4 linked regions of the Arabidopsis thaliana genome follow. The protein of the gene in region 2 interacts with the protein of the main gene of each other region in a pairwise test. Each region holds a gene or a part of one and is shown on either strand. Other genes may lie near its edges.

Evidence for each region.
Region 1: the proteins of WRKY33 (region 2) and AT1G80450 interact in a two-hybrid assay, tested with the Arabidopsis thaliana proteins (one study listed by BioGRID).
Region 3: the proteins of WRKY33 (region 2) and AT3G58000 interact in a two-hybrid assay, tested with the Arabidopsis thaliana proteins (one study listed by BioGRID).
Region 4: the proteins of WRKY33 (region 2) and AT3G60090 interact in a two-hybrid assay, tested with the Arabidopsis thaliana proteins (one study listed by BioGRID).

What each region holds. Positions count from the first base shown.
Region 1 is NC_003070.9:30,242,871-30,246,597, reverse strand, and holds AT1G80450 (VQ motif-containing protein), read left to right. Parts: upstream 1-1,648; 5' UTR 1,649-1,909; coding exon 1,910-2,443; 3' UTR 2,444-3,168; downstream 3,169-3,727. UniProt on the Arabidopsis thaliana protein: May modulate WRKY transcription factor activities.
Region 2 is NC_003071.7:16,106,412-16,111,325, forward strand, and holds WRKY33 (WRKY DNA-binding protein 33), read left to right. Parts: upstream 1-1,823; 5' UTR 1,824-2,064; coding exon 2,065-2,307; exon of another isoform or gene 2,308-2,556; coding exon 2,557-2,763; intron 2,764-2,832; coding exon 2,833-3,365; intron 3,366-3,455; coding exon 3,456-3,617; intron 3,618-3,713; coding exon 3,714-4,128; 3' UTR 4,129-4,355; downstream 4,356-4,914. Other genes in the region: AT2G38465 (uncharacterized protein), read right to left, coding at 1-107, 271-399; AT2G38480 (Uncharacterized protein family (UPF0497)), read right to left, coding at 4,549-4,740, 4,822-4,914.
Region 3 is NC_003074.8:21,473,091-21,476,304, reverse strand, and holds AT3G58000 (VQ motif-containing protein), read right to left. Parts: upstream 1,436-3,214; 5' UTR 1,356-1,435; coding exon 828-1,355; 3' UTR 555-827; downstream 1-554. Other genes in the region: PGL34 (plastoglobulin 34kD), read left to right, coding at 1-31, 117-169, 252-356. UniProt on the Arabidopsis thaliana protein: May function as negative regulator of plant defense.
Region 4 is NC_003074.8:22,188,753-22,192,266, reverse strand, and holds AT3G60090 (VQ motif-containing protein), read right to left. Parts: upstream 1,486-3,514; 5' UTR 1,410-1,485; coding exon 936-1,409; 3' UTR 519-935; downstream 1-518.

The sequences.
Region 1 (3,727 bases), on a different chromosome or scaffold from region 2:
TCGAAAATCATTTAACAGAATAAACAAAGTCAGTCTTTTCTCGGTGGAACTGTGATGATAGCTTTTACAAATTTCATTTGCTTTCAGCTTCTTTAGGACAAAGCACTTCTCACTAAGCGGATGCAAGCATCAACAAGGCTGAAACCACCTCTCTATCTCGGACAGAATTAGGGTTTTTCTTCATGAAACCACACTTTGAATTCTCGATTTCTCTACACTGAGACCAAGCGCTCTTCTCCATCTCTAAGCTCGAACGAAACTCTTATTCAAAAGAATCTCCAATTCCGTCCGATTTGTGCTTCAAAATTAAAAAAGAATCATGTTCCCTCGTTTTTCTTCACCTCCAAAACTGGGCCTCTCTGGGCCTTAATTCGTTTAAAGCAGATGGGCTCTTAATGAAACTTCCCTTGACCATAAAATTTGACTCTTACGTTGTTGATTTTCCTTTTCTTCGAGTCAACAGGATCAATCAACATTGTCTTAGTTTGGTTGACCAGGCTCAACATTTGATTCAAAGTGACTTTTTTTCTTATGATTTTTAAGTTTTCAGAATTTAAAATTAGATAACTTCCTAGTAAGGGTGTTAGTTGGATACTTTTTTCATCAGAAATTTCATAGCAATTTTTTCTATCAGTTCCCACTGAAACAGCGAGAATCTAAGAAGAAAAGTGGACAAATGGAAATGAAGAAAGAGTTGTTCTGTATTTTACTCAAGCCTAAAAGGAATACTAATAAAGAAGGTTTCAATGGAAACACAAGAAAAAAAGTTCATAGAGTCAAATGGAAGCAAAGCTAAGGAACAAAGAAAAAACGTGAAGTGTGAAGAAAAAGGAGGGAAAAAATCTTCGCTTTTTGCCTACTTCCTTCACGCAACCTAAAACTAAAAGCCTATTAATTTTGTTCTCTTTTCTTTTTCAGATTGTTTTATATGTTGAACATTTCTATTTATCTTTGTCCTCCACTAATTAAATCGGATGCATGATGTATTCTCTCATATTAACAATATAAAATGTAACGTAAGAAGAAGTACTTTTTTAAAAGTAATCACAATCTCTAACAAACAACACCAAAAACTTTATCGCTTATATTATTATAATTACTCAACAATGTACGGATTTGAAGTCATTTAATTTTTTACTTTTCAAAATTTGAACCTCCATAAATTTTGTAGGGGAAAGTTCTGATGCCCTTCTCGTCACAGCATTTATTTCTTTGGGAAATTCAAAATTCGAAAATTCATAAAATCATGGACGTGTGGTAATTACGCTTATTACATACTATCATATGATCACGGCCAGGGATCAATCATTACGCAGTTGCCTACAAAGGTTATAACATTAGGTTTTCTTTTGTATCACATATCAATTCGTCAACCACGTCTAAAGTATATAACGTTTGTGTACAGAAAAATATATAGTGGGATATTATAGACTAGTGGAATGCTTTGAAAATATCAATTAAGTTGCTTGCGGAGTCAACAATGAACCGACTAAATGTTTCATTATCACGAATTATCTATATATGATGTTCCCAGGTATTGAATTGGCAACACTTCTAATAATGTATGGTTAGCTTGGGCGTTGACTTTGACATTATAATCATCTAGAAACAGTTTTAATCCGTATTCAAATCACAAATATTAGTGAATTATTAGCAACTAAACATATAATTTATTTTTTAGTCAACTTATCAACTAAAGATTCTAGACGTGCAAAGTCAAACAATAATAGCCACTTTGGTTAATTACTAAATTTAATATGTTGGCAAAAAATGTCAATAAAAACACACAAACACACAATAGGGTCTTCTTTAAATATATGTGCAGTAGGCAGACGAATGTCTTTTAGACAAAAACAAAAACAAGCTTCTCTTCTCTCTTCTCTTCTTCTCTTTAGTCATCTCAACCACCATGAGTCACCAGCAGCCGCCGAGCTATGCCACCGAGCCAAACACCATGTTCGTTCAAGCAGACCCCTCTAATTTCCGTAACATCGTCCAAAAGCTCACTGGAGCACCACCCGATATCTCCTCCTCATCCTTCTCCGCCGTCTCAGCCGCACACCAGAAGCTTCCATTAACTCCCAAAAAGCCAGCGTTCAAACTCCACGAACGGCGTCAATCATCAAAGAAAATGGAGCTTAAGGTCAACAACATCACAAACCCTAACGACGCTTTCAGCCATTTCCACCGAGGATTCCTCGTCTCTCCCGTCTCTCACCTAGACCCATTCTGGGCGCGCGTGAGTCCACATTCAGCGCGTGAGGAACACCACGCGCAACCGGACAAGGAAGAGCAAAAAGCCATAGCGGAAAAAGGGTTCTACTTCCTTCCGAGTCCGAGAAGCGGCTCCGAGCCGGCACCGGAGCTTTTGCCCCTGTTTCCTCTTCGTTCTCCTAACGGCACTAATCACCGGATTCATGAAGATAATCATCGAGACTCTTAGTCTTAATTTAGAACGTATAATTTGAGTTTTAGGCTATTTAATCGTAAGTTGGGGACACGTGATATTTGCTGTTGCTTTTTACTATTTTTGTTAGGGCTAGTTAATATCCGTTTTCCATTTAACCTAGACTTTTTTCATCCTTCATTAAACTTTTTCTTCAAGGGTCAACTATTTCGGCGCGTGTACTCCACTTCCTTTTGGAATACAAAAAAATCTTATTCTATACGCGGCAATTACTTACATTAGTCAAGGAAGACATCATTTCACGAGCATATAAATCAATGTCTTTTTAGATCTTTTATCTAACCATTAATACGTGGGATCCAAAACACAAGCTATCTAGTTTCTAAATTTCTTGAAAAAAGATAATATAACCACAATGCTCAATTTTCTTTTGGAAAGTAGTACTTTTTGACAAGTCTACAACGATCAAGCTAGCGTAATCGTCTTCGTATCTTAAATTTTTCCTTACAATAAAGTTGATGATGTGTGTATGGAGATGAATGAAAAGATAGGCTAAATAGGCCGACTTATAATAGATACAAAAATGTGTTGACTTTTTGGTTAAGAAAGAAACTAAAGAAGCTAAATTCTCTGTACAGTTTAACACTGCTCCAATTCAATTGTTTGTGTGTGTCATAAAGCTGCCAGCCGTTGGATTTAATGACAAAGCTGTGACGCAGAACGAAGCGGCGCCTATTTCCTCTGCAGATTCAACGGCTACGATTTAATTCTCCTGCTGAAAATATAATGCACTTTTCTTTTGTATCGATATTAAATAGATGTTACTTGTAACAGAGGGTGTCTCTGCATCTCTCTTTAAAGTCTGTTGTCAGTCTATCTTCGAACTCTGCCCCTCAGGTGTAATCCATATTTCAAACCTCTGCTCTAATCCTAGCCATCCATTTGTCTCAAGTCCCATCCAAAAGCCCATTTAAAGATCAAAAGTTCATCATTCAAAATCTGGTCTATTTGGGCCTCGAGTAAAAAAATTAATAGGACTAGTCTATGAAACCCATTAAAGTTCTTGGATACCAAAATCAAGGCTCCTTTAATAAACTTTAAAAGTTTTGTGTCGACACATGTTTCGAAAGTTTGTTTGCTTGCAATTATATAATTAGATCAGTTTTGTATAGAGAACCTAAAAGTTCAAATCTTCCTTTTGAAGTTTTGTATAGAGAACATAAATATTTGGTAAAGTGACACTGAATAAATACAATATTTCTTTATTTTGTTGTTCATGAAAAGATTTGTAGATTGACACACGAGACTACCCATTGGTTT
Region 2 (4,914 bases):
CTCTTCTTGGCATTCTCTGCTTCATCGGTTGCGTCAACTTGCATTTTTGTCTCCGTTAGATGAGCCTCCGTAGCTTCCTTCTCGTTCTTTGCCGTCAATCTCTTTGTCTTCCAAACCAAAATAAAAATAAAAGATTATAACAAAATGAAACTAATCAATAAGGAAATTAACGAGACACCAAATACGTCAAGTGATCATTGATTCAAGAAGACCCATGAGTCTCTGATCCGCTTGTTTCAGTGGCTCGAAACAAGACTCTTGTATACGCACCTGGCCAACAAAAAAGGCTTTGACATAGCTAAACCCTTCCTGGCATGTTACTGCCATGGATAAACAGTTAGTCTTCACTCGATCGGACAAAGACTTCGCCGGCTGTCGTGATGTCTCGGCGTCTTGCATCGCTGCTTTTTCGAGATAGATAGATTGCTTGAAACTTGAAAGCAAGACTAGGAAATATCTCACTTTCTTGTGCCAATGATGATTTTTTTTAACTATTAATGATTCTGGAAGCAACTCTTGCCACGTCTGTTTTACGTGTTAGCTGTAGAGATACCGACGTGTATTAAAGCAAGAGGCTATTTTACTTTGGGCCTTTTGGGCTTTTGGGCTGAAGAAAGAAACTGTCATCGGATCAACAAACACTGCATAGTTTGCAACTTGCACGGTAAAGCGACACAAAATCCATGACGTTTAATTTAGGTTCCACGTGAAGAACCATACCACATATCGTGCAATAAGAAACTGATCACTTTTATATACCTAAACGATTTACAATTTACACTACTATGCTTGACACGATATGTAATTTTTTTTTTTTTGCCAAAGGGTGTTGTTATTGATATTAAACATTGTACAATACAACGTACATAGACTGTTTATATAAAACAAGGACGTCTAGATAAAAAAAGCAAATAACAAATATTACAAGACTAGTTAAGGAAACAACAAACTGAGTAAGGTTTTATGTACAAAACAGAGACGACTACCAAAGAAGAGGGCCAGACGTGGTAGCAGTGATGGAAGACAAACATCCTGACATCTCAATAAGAACATTTATGGCTACTTCAAATACATATATACACAATATGTAATTCTCTTATTACATTTATGGCTACTTCAAATACATATATACAAAAAAAAAAGGCCTACCTTCGACAGAAGTTATACCAATTTATTGATCGGAAGCTACAAAATGTTATCTAGGGTCAATTTGTAGCCTATCTCTATATCAAAACCGATACGGATACAAAATAGTTTGATAATCATAGAATTTAACATTCTAATAAATATTTGTTTCTAGTATTCTTTAAATGAATAATCTTGTGTTCAATTAGTCTATTCATAGTAGAATTAAGTCTCCTAAAAAATAGATTGAAACCAAAAACAGCCGCACATGGATTTAATATCGACTTTAGTTAGGAGGTTTTGCTAAAAATAGTAAAATACTCACAAACTCACTTCTAAATACTAATCTTTTACACTCATGTCATGTGCTTTAAAGATATGAGAGAACCTTTCCTAGTACACCTACAGTCAAAATTTTCAAGATTCCGAAATTTTCTAGGTTTTTTGAGCAAGAGCCAAGAATCCCAAATGTTTGAATTTGTATTTTTGATCCAAAAATACTACAACATCGTATAAAGAATAAATCATACGTGTCAGAACGAGACATATGAAGATGATGAAAGCATTGAGCCGCCCCTCAAAAAATCCGTTCAACGTTTGAGAGTCAAGGCCACAAGGTCTGACCAATCTATCTCTTCTCCTTCTTCTTCTAATCATATTTTCAACGGTCAAACTTTTTATCACCTTCTCAGAAACTACTCTTCTTCATATGTGACCCTAAAAATAAAAACGAACAATTAAACAAAATTTTAAAATAATATAATATTCACCAATCAGACGTGCAATATGTTTTATATATTCAGACATAACCAACAAATATACAGAAACAAGAAGAAGAACAAGAACCATCACTTCTCTCATTTTCTTCTTCTCCAAGCCCCCCTCCTTTCTATATATATCTGAAATTGGTCTTTTATAAAACAAACTTCCATTTTTCGTATGGCTGCTTCTTTTCTTACAATGGACAATAGCAGAACCAGACAAAACATGAATGGTTCTGCTAATTGGTCACAACAATCCGGAAGAACATCTACTTCCTCTTTGGAAGATCTTGAGATACCAAAGTTCAGATCTTTTGCTCCTTCTTCAATCTCTATCTCTCCTTCTCTTGTCTCTCCTTCCACTTGTTTCAGTCCCTCTCTTTTTCTCGATTCCCCTGCTTTTGTCTCCTCCTCTGCTAACGTAAGCCTCTCTGTTTTTTTTCTCTGTTTCTTTTGAAATGAATCCAATTAGTGATGATAATCTGTGTTTGATGTATCATTGATTTAACATCTTGACAATGAATCGTGATCGGAAGTGATAAAGTTATGGGTCAACGGTTTCAAAGAGAGAGAAAGACTTTTAGAGTCAACTCTCGACTCTTTCTTAATTATGTTATTGCTATTTGTCTCTTTTCTTGAAGTCTGAACAATTCTTGGGATTGTTTTGCAGGTTCTAGCTTCTCCAACCACAGGAGCTTTAATCACAAACGTAACTAACCAGAAAGGTATAAATGAAGGAGACAAGAGCAACAACAACAACTTTAACTTATTCGATTTCTCATTCCACACACAATCATCAGGAGTTTCTGCTCCGACCACAACTACAACTACAACTACAACTACAACAACAACAAACAGTTCTATCTTTCAATCTCAGGTATGTACTTCATCAACAGCTCAAATCCTCTGTTTATGAGTTTTTCTATAACTTTGTTTTGAGTTTCAGGAACAACAGAAGAAGAACCAGTCAGAACAATGGAGCCAAACCGAGACTCGTCCAAACAATCAAGCTGTATCTTACAATGGAAGAGAGCAAAGGAAAGGAGAGGATGGTTACAATTGGAGAAAGTACGGACAAAAACAGGTGAAAGGAAGTGAGAATCCTCGGAGTTACTATAAGTGTACTTTCCCTAATTGTCCAACGAAGAAGAAAGTGGAGAGATCTTTGGAAGGTCAGATCACAGAGATTGTGTATAAAGGAAGCCACAACCATCCTAAACCTCAGTCTACTAGAAGATCTTCTTCGTCTTCTTCGACTTTTCATTCAGCTGTGTACAATGCCAGTTTGGATCATAATCGTCAAGCTTCTTCTGATCAGCCTAATTCCAATAATAGCTTTCATCAGTCTGATTCCTTTGGGATGCAACAAGAGGATAATACTACTTCTGATTCTGTTGGTGACGATGAGTTCGAACAAGGCTCATCGATTGTCAGCAGAGACGAAGAAGATTGTGGGAGTGAACCTGAAGCAAAGAGATGGTACAGATCATCATCACCCTCCAAATTTGCTACTCTTTGAACAATCTTGAATATGAAAGTTCTAAAATGTATGTTTTTTTGTGTTTTCAGGAAAGGGGACAATGAAACAAATGGTGGGAATGGTGGTGGAAGCAAGACAGTGAGAGAGCCGAGAATCGTAGTGCAGACAACGAGTGATATTGACATTCTTGACGACGGTTACAGATGGAGAAAATACGGCCAGAAAGTCGTTAAGGGAAACCCAAATCCAAGGTAATAACATAAACAATTGTGCATCTCAATAACTCAGAATTAAGGTTCTTGAGAATCTGACCTTTTGTTTTCTTTTCATTTGCTGAATCTTAACAGAAGCTACTACAAGTGCACAACCATCGGTTGTCCAGTGAGGAAACATGTGGAGAGAGCATCACACGACATGAGAGCAGTAATCACAACCTACGAAGGGAAACACAACCACGATGTTCCTGCAGCTCGTGGTAGCGGTTACGCCACAAACAGAGCACCACAGGATTCGTCTTCAGTCCCGATTAGACCAGCTGCTATTGCTGGTCACTCCAACTACACTACTTCTTCTCAAGCACCATATACACTTCAGATGCTGCACAACAACAACACTAATACCGGGCCTTTTGGTTACGCCATGAACAACAATAACAACAACAGCAACCTTCAAACGCAACAAAACTTTGTTGGTGGTGGATTCTCTAGAGCAAAGGAAGAACCAAACGAGGAGACCTCATTTTTCGATTCGTTTATGCCCTGAAGAAAAAAGGAACCAGTTGTTCCTTTTTTATGTTCCTTTTGTACATTTCTGCCACCAAAGGATTTTACTACTTACTAGTTATCCTGCAGGATAGTAAGTCAGACTTCTATAGTCCATAGAGAAATTTTTTCATTTGTTTTTTCACACGCCTGTAATATGTTTAATGTTTGTACTTTGTACCATAGAACTAGAACACGGAATAAAACCAATCAATTTTCAGTTTCTTCACTTTGAATAATGAATCAAAGAAGCACACACACACACACACAGTGACACAGGGAGACACAGTGACAGTCTGACAGACCCAAATAACAGAAGTTGATATCAGCTATAAGAACACATAAAAGAATTGACATTTACATGTATAACAAAGATCACAATGGTATATAACTACTGAAGCACATTATTGCAAAGAGATCTTCAGATAAAAGAATGAGTGGAGAGTTTGTAACCGGAGAAGAGAGCAGAGAGAGCTAAAGCAATGAATGCGAAGATAGCCATACTTATAGCAGAAGCAGCAGAATCAGTGAAAATGTTATCTTGACCTTCTCTGAATATGTTTGTCAATGGAATTGCAGATGATGCAGCTGATATAAGCAAATACGCCACAATCTGCAAATTTCACTTTTTTGCATAAAAATCATAACTTTACATATATAAATCTGAGAATTGATAATCAGTTTGTGGCATTACCTGGTCGCCGGAGAAATCGACCAAAATAGAAGTCCGGCGATCGAAAATTTCCCTTTTTGAGAAATGTGCAAATGTTTGCCACGCAGTGTATAA
Region 3 (3,214 bases), on a different chromosome or scaffold from region 2:
ACTCTAGCCAATGGTCTAAGAATCCCCCTTGGTAAAGCCATAACCATCATTTTAACATTTTCCACTCCTCACATGTAACATTGTAACCAAGTAGTGTTGTTGTTATTGACTTTCAGGTGGAACTTACCAAAGATTCTTCATGATATCTTATCTAGACGACGAGATTCTTGTAAGTTCCTGAAATGTTATGATGATACAAGTTGGAGCTTACAGAAAATTATAAAACGAGTCTTTTGGTTGTTGTTATGTAGATTGTAAGAGATACCGCAGGAGTGCCTGAAGTTCTAACGAGGGTGGAAACATCGTCTCCGATGTCTTCATCGAGTGTTGTAGAGAATCTTGAATACAACAGTTAAAAACAGGTTCTCTTGTTACTCTGATTCTCTCTGTAAATGTAAGAACAAAAAGTGTATACAACTTACCGACCTCACTATAGTATATCTCCGGACACACTGAGACCTCTTTTCTTAAATCTACTTCGTCTTTTGTCTCATTCGATTGCCAAAATTTGCCTCTGTTGATTTTATTAGTGAATGTTTTCACTCTGATATATATGAAACATTTAACATTGTAAATGCTTAGAGGACGTCCAAGAAAGCAAAAGCTAGACACAACATTTATCAGTGTACATTACATTTTGAAGACAATGGACAAATCATAAAGACCTTAAGGGAGAAATAAAAGGAGTCTCAGCTAATTTCATTAAATCAATTAGCCTCATACTAAACAAACAAAAAAAAAAGTAATAAATTAAAAATTCATTTCCACAAAAACCTAGTAAACAAAATAAAAGATGAAAAAGGTTACACATCCTTTGAGAGACCGAGTTAAGCGAATTGATCTGAGAAAACTGATCCACCATGTAAATGAGAGGAAGAAGAGGAGTTAGAAGAAGCAGAAGCATCAATGGAGGACAAGGGCAAATAAGGAAATTCACCAAGTTCTTGAATAAACCCTTCGAAATCTCCCAAACCATTCAAGAACCCTCCAGAGCTTTCACCAGCGCCATTATTACCGTTCCAAGTCATCGAGAGCTCTTCTGCGTTTAAGCAGAACTCTTGATCACAATGCTCGGGTTCTCTTAGTTTCTCCGTGTTGATCATGTCTTGGACTTGACGATGAAGACGATGCATATCTCTTCTAGGTTTTGCCTTGGAAGTTCTCTGGTCGTCTGGTTTGCCGGTGAGGCTTTGGACGAGCTCACGGAAGTTGGCAACGTCGGTCTTGATGATCTCCGGAGCAAATATGTGAATTATACGGATCTTTGGCTTTGATTTGGTTATCGAGTATGACTGTTTGTGCACCGCTATGCTTGATAACGAGCTTCTTCTTTTCTCGAAGATCGTGGCTTCCATTTTTAGAATAAGTAGGGTTTTGTTTAGCAATATATAGAGAGAGAGAGAAAAGAGAAAGGGCTAGAGAGAGTTGGTGAATTTGATTGTAAGTGAAGATATTTGAAGGTTATATAGAAGGAGAGGAAATGATAAGTATGAAAGAACAAAATAATTTAAACTTTTTCTGTTCAACTTAATTATATCCTTTTAAATAGTGCTATGGGGAGTACTTAATATATATGAACTAGATATAGGCAAATAATTTAATGGTCACTTTGTTTATCTATTTGATAATTGTACTCAAAACACGATCCAAAATTATAAATTTATAGCCATCATGTAATTAATAGTAAGAAAACTATATTTTAAACAAATGGATCTCTGGTCTTGTTGATATATACATTTATTGGAGAAACTAACTAGTTGGACTAAATTAATTTTTCATTTTTTAAACTAGTTGGAATAAACTAATTACATGTAACTATTGTATTATGAGAAAGATGTGTTAGTATGCTAGCTTCTTAAGACATGGAATAGAGGAACAAGAAGCACACTGGTCCCCTCCTCCCACAAACCAAATTAATATTCATGTTGTATTTTCTTTAATATTTAACGTAATATTGGAATTTTTCTGTTCTGAGCCTATATTAATATATATGCGTTCTTGTGTATAGATAAATGCAAGTGGCATAGATAAGTAGGATTTCACAAACTTGGCACCATGACACACAAACTCAACAAACTTATATGATTGGTCTTATATATTTGCAACAAAACAATATTCGTTTATATTATAACGTTTAGTTGATAATAGAGGTCAATTTTTGCATATCATTGTCTGCACTTCTAATTTACATCAGATTCATGTTTGGTGTAATTGTATCAGCCAAAAACATATACTCATACATGCAGAATACTGTCATTGTGAATTTGTTACACATGTATATCTTAATTATTCACTGAGTTTGCATTAAGGAAGCAATCAACTAAAGTTTTTTTTGGATAAAAGTAACTAAAGGAACAAAAGAAACAAGTTAATCAGCAAATAGAGATAATATAAAGGAAAAGTAGAATGTGAAGACATGGAGATGGCATGACTCTGCGGTGACTCTCACTTAGCTTTTTTACCTTTAGTCGTCTGATCACGTCCTCTATCTCTTAATGCACGAGGCAGTTTCACTTCCTGACGTCTATTCTTCACCCTTTTTTTTTTCTCTCTTTATCAAAATACCAACACAGAAAAATATTTAATAATTAACACTTTCTTTTTTTGATCATCCAACACATATATACATTATCTAAACATTAATAATTAAATTCTATATACAGCAAGCTCCTCATAAATATTAGTGATCAACCACGAATAAGAAAAAAAATATACCAAAATGCATAGCTACACATATAGTATAGTATAGTATTATTAATATCTCTATGACAACTTTGCAAGAAAAATAAGTTAATAAAGCCAACTAGTATCCTAGCTATAGATATCTATGCTAACTACTTAAAATACGTGAACAAACAAAACCTTAATTAGAGAACATATACGTGTGTCGAACCTCCTTGTTAAAAATAGTACTAAACCTTAAATAAACCACTAGTTTTTTGTTGCACAATCTAACTTTGCCTCAGAACATTTTTGCCAACTCTATATGTTGCTGAGATCCACACGGAAATAGACACAATGGTGAATCATTTTAATCATGCACTACAAGATATGATACAATAGATAATGGCCGTCGGATCAAGAGTAGAGATATGAAAGAGATCTAACGGCTGTAACAGAAAAGGGAGACAGATGGAGAGAGAGAGAGTGAGCTTGAAACTCAACGGAAAGGATTTGGTTTTGTAGTCTGAGAGCTTTTTGTACAAATGAGTGC
Region 4 (3,514 bases), on a different chromosome or scaffold from region 2:
GAAATACTATTTAATGATGTAACACAACTATTAACAATGATGGATATAGCTATAGCTAGTTAATATTAAAACATTGGATATCATATTATATGACACTATTGATCGTTATGTCATCCAAAAAATAAACTGATATTTCAATGAATGAGATTGGAAAAATATGACATATATCCATTACAACTCATTATAATCATATTACCATATCATTTTAATGTTTATGAAATGTGAGTCCACCTTTCATAATCTAACGTTTTGAGAAGTTAAAATGTAATTTAGCCATAAAGTTTTGAAGGTATATATCAAGAACATCGCCAATAAAACAGAACTTTATTCATTTATATATTCAAATCGAAACTCTTTTAGAGTCATGTAAGAATCATTTATCATTATAGTATTTCGTTAATTCAGTTTAATGGAATTCATTTTTGTTTTATCAAACAATTTGTTGTAAGTAACATGACTTATATATGAATTAACAAACAAAATAATTTGACGAAAAAAAATGAACAATCTAAAAAATTCAATCACAATATCATTCTCGCTTTTCTATATATAAAACTTGCACACGCACGCGTGAGTACAACGTTACACCATTTTTAAGTAGAGTTTTCACATGATCGGAGATCAAAACACAAACTTACTTTTTCTTGGCAAAATCAGTCTACAAACTCATCACTACACTCTTTCTTGGTAAATTAAGTCAGTCTAACAAATTAAATCAAAGGGCACCCAAGCCCAAAAAATCCAAACATTTGTACATATATACAAGTTATGTATGTTCCTACCTATATAGATGATCATCGTCTCAACCTTGGTCTTGTCTTGACCCATGTCTTGTTATGCTCCATATCGAATAAATGATCAAATCATCATCAAAACCAACAGGACTTACGATTAGTAGAAACCCTACATATTAGGGTAAGGTGTGACCAAACTAATTATTGTTGTTGAAGATCAAACCATCGACTTGAGAATATGTTGTCGTCTTCATCAAGATCGATCAAACCGTCAAAATCAAAGTAAGTATTTGTGTTTGAACTTGATCCCCATTCTTCCTTCACCACGTGGCTCCCTATTATTCTGTTGTCCAGTTCAGCCGTATGTTCTTGGCCGGAATCTTGAGGCAAACCCGGTGGCGCAGGAAAATTTGTGTTGGTTATCTTTTTCTTAGAACCGGTTTTGGTGATCTCCGGTTTCCCGGTTAGACTTTGGACGAGTGTGCGGAAGTTCTTGACATCGGTGTTGATGATCTCGGGAGCAAATATATGGATGATACGGATCTTAGGCTTGATCTTGGTTATTATTTGGGAGTTCTTGTTCATGGGAACCAAAGTTTTTGAATAATCACCATAAAAGGTTTGATGAGGAAGATGATCTATATCGTACTCAGCCTTCATAGAATTTCTCACCATATAAACGTAAAAAGAAGATGAAGAAGCGAAGATTTTGGGTTTTTCTTTTTTGGATTTCAGGTTTCTTGTATTGTTTTGGGAAATGATATGCATATGTTGTGGATTATATGTCTCTATATATATACACAAAAAAAACAAAATGTGAATATACAGTTTTATTGTTGGTTTGTAAAAAAACATTAATAAAATACTATTTCTTAAAGACAAACAAAATGAAAATAGTTAAAAATATAAGACGAAATAGCTATGGACCTGCCTTCCATTACACACTTTTCAACAACTTGAGTTAAATAAATTGTAATTTAAACAAAAAGAATGATCTGTTTCTTTTACGCTATCGGAATAAAATGGTTTTTAATTTTCCAACTGATGATATATCATATAATCAATTAGCTATATAATTAAGTAAAAACATACATATGAGTAGATGGCGTGAGCGATGTTTTATTTAATATATGTGGTTGACTATATAATATAGGTCGTCGACTTAACCTTTGGAGGTGAATTTGACTTTGTTTTATTTACGAATTTGTTAAAATGTCCTTTACCAAAATAATAATAATAATAATTTGTTACATGGCTTATGGAGATAGGGTTTCTTGGAGTTGTACATATATTTTAAAACAATCTTTCACTACATATGTGAAATTCGTCTTAGTAATTTTCACGGAGCATATGTGAAATGTAATTATTTATTGTCTATGGTAAACATCGTTAATAGTAAAAAAATTACATTTGTTTCGGAATTAAGAGATTAGATAAACCGACAAAAAGAAAAACAAATTCCGTGTGCCCTATACTAATAACTTAATAAACACGACAGATACTCGTCGGACGTGATATGTGACTCATCTGTACACGTGCAAAGCTTTTTGTTTTGATGTTTTGATTCCTTGGATCAAAAATCCAAAATTGTTTGACCCAAAAAAAAAGATTAATTAATTATCCAAAAAAAAAGCGGCCACTAATCATATGGAGAGGTCACTAGGTCAGACAATTTCGTTTATCCAAACTAGTAAAATAAGTATAATTAGTTACATCAATCGATTTTTTTTTGTTCACTACTTGAATGTTGCATCAACTGATTTAAAGGTCAAAGTTATCTATTTAATTTAAATAGATCATAGTTTGACATTAGCGTGTTTCGGTTATATAAAATTTCAAGAATTTGACATTTGTAGTTAACAATAGCTGTATGATATTTTTGTAAGAACAAATCGTATTGTTTTGGTCATTATTTAATGTTGATACGCGGGATTGTTGACTTACTCTCCTTAAAACTAGTGAAACAAATCTCCCTATACTAACTACCATGTGTTGAATTATACAACCGTTGATCCAACTTTCTTTGGATGCTTTGAGTTTCTACTCGATCAATTTGTTTTTCACATCATGATAAACTAACTTGTTTTACGTCAAATCCTTTATTTTCAGTTTGTTGTTGTCTAACAGGGAGATGTTTTTCGTATTATTTATCTAATGTAACTATTAATTGTTGCTAACCAAAATATCATTTGATCCTAAACCTAAACTAAAAGGGCAGAAAATTGCTTAGAATCACTAGTGTCTCAATCATTGCATAATTCATACAATTAGATGTTTTAGAGTGCATTGGTAGAAGGATTTCACCAAAACCACTGGCTCCTACCATCCTATTTTTTAGGTGATGGTGTTTTGATTCAAGCAGGTCTGGTTAGAAGACATCATCAAGGGTGAAGAGTTTTGTTAATGACAACTATATAGTAGAGCTATTATTATTATTAATTTGTAGTACTAGTTTAAAACCACAATTAGTCGAACAATTGGGATTCTTTTGTAAGAAGCAAAATCAAATCATCAAAACTGAAAATCAAAAGACAGATACATGCGAAAAGGTCCAAAAACAAAAATTGGTTAAAAATCAAGTTTTAATCATCTTATAGCCCAAGATTCTCAGCCCAATTTTGTCTTTGTTGGTGGGCCTTGTATTCACTTTTATTTTTATTAGAGTCAACCAGATCAACAGACTACAGTCACCACTCACCGTATCAGAAAGTCGAGAAATGAAAAACGTAGAACAAATCATTACACTTACGTTTATTTCATCAATTATTGTATCGAAAGTA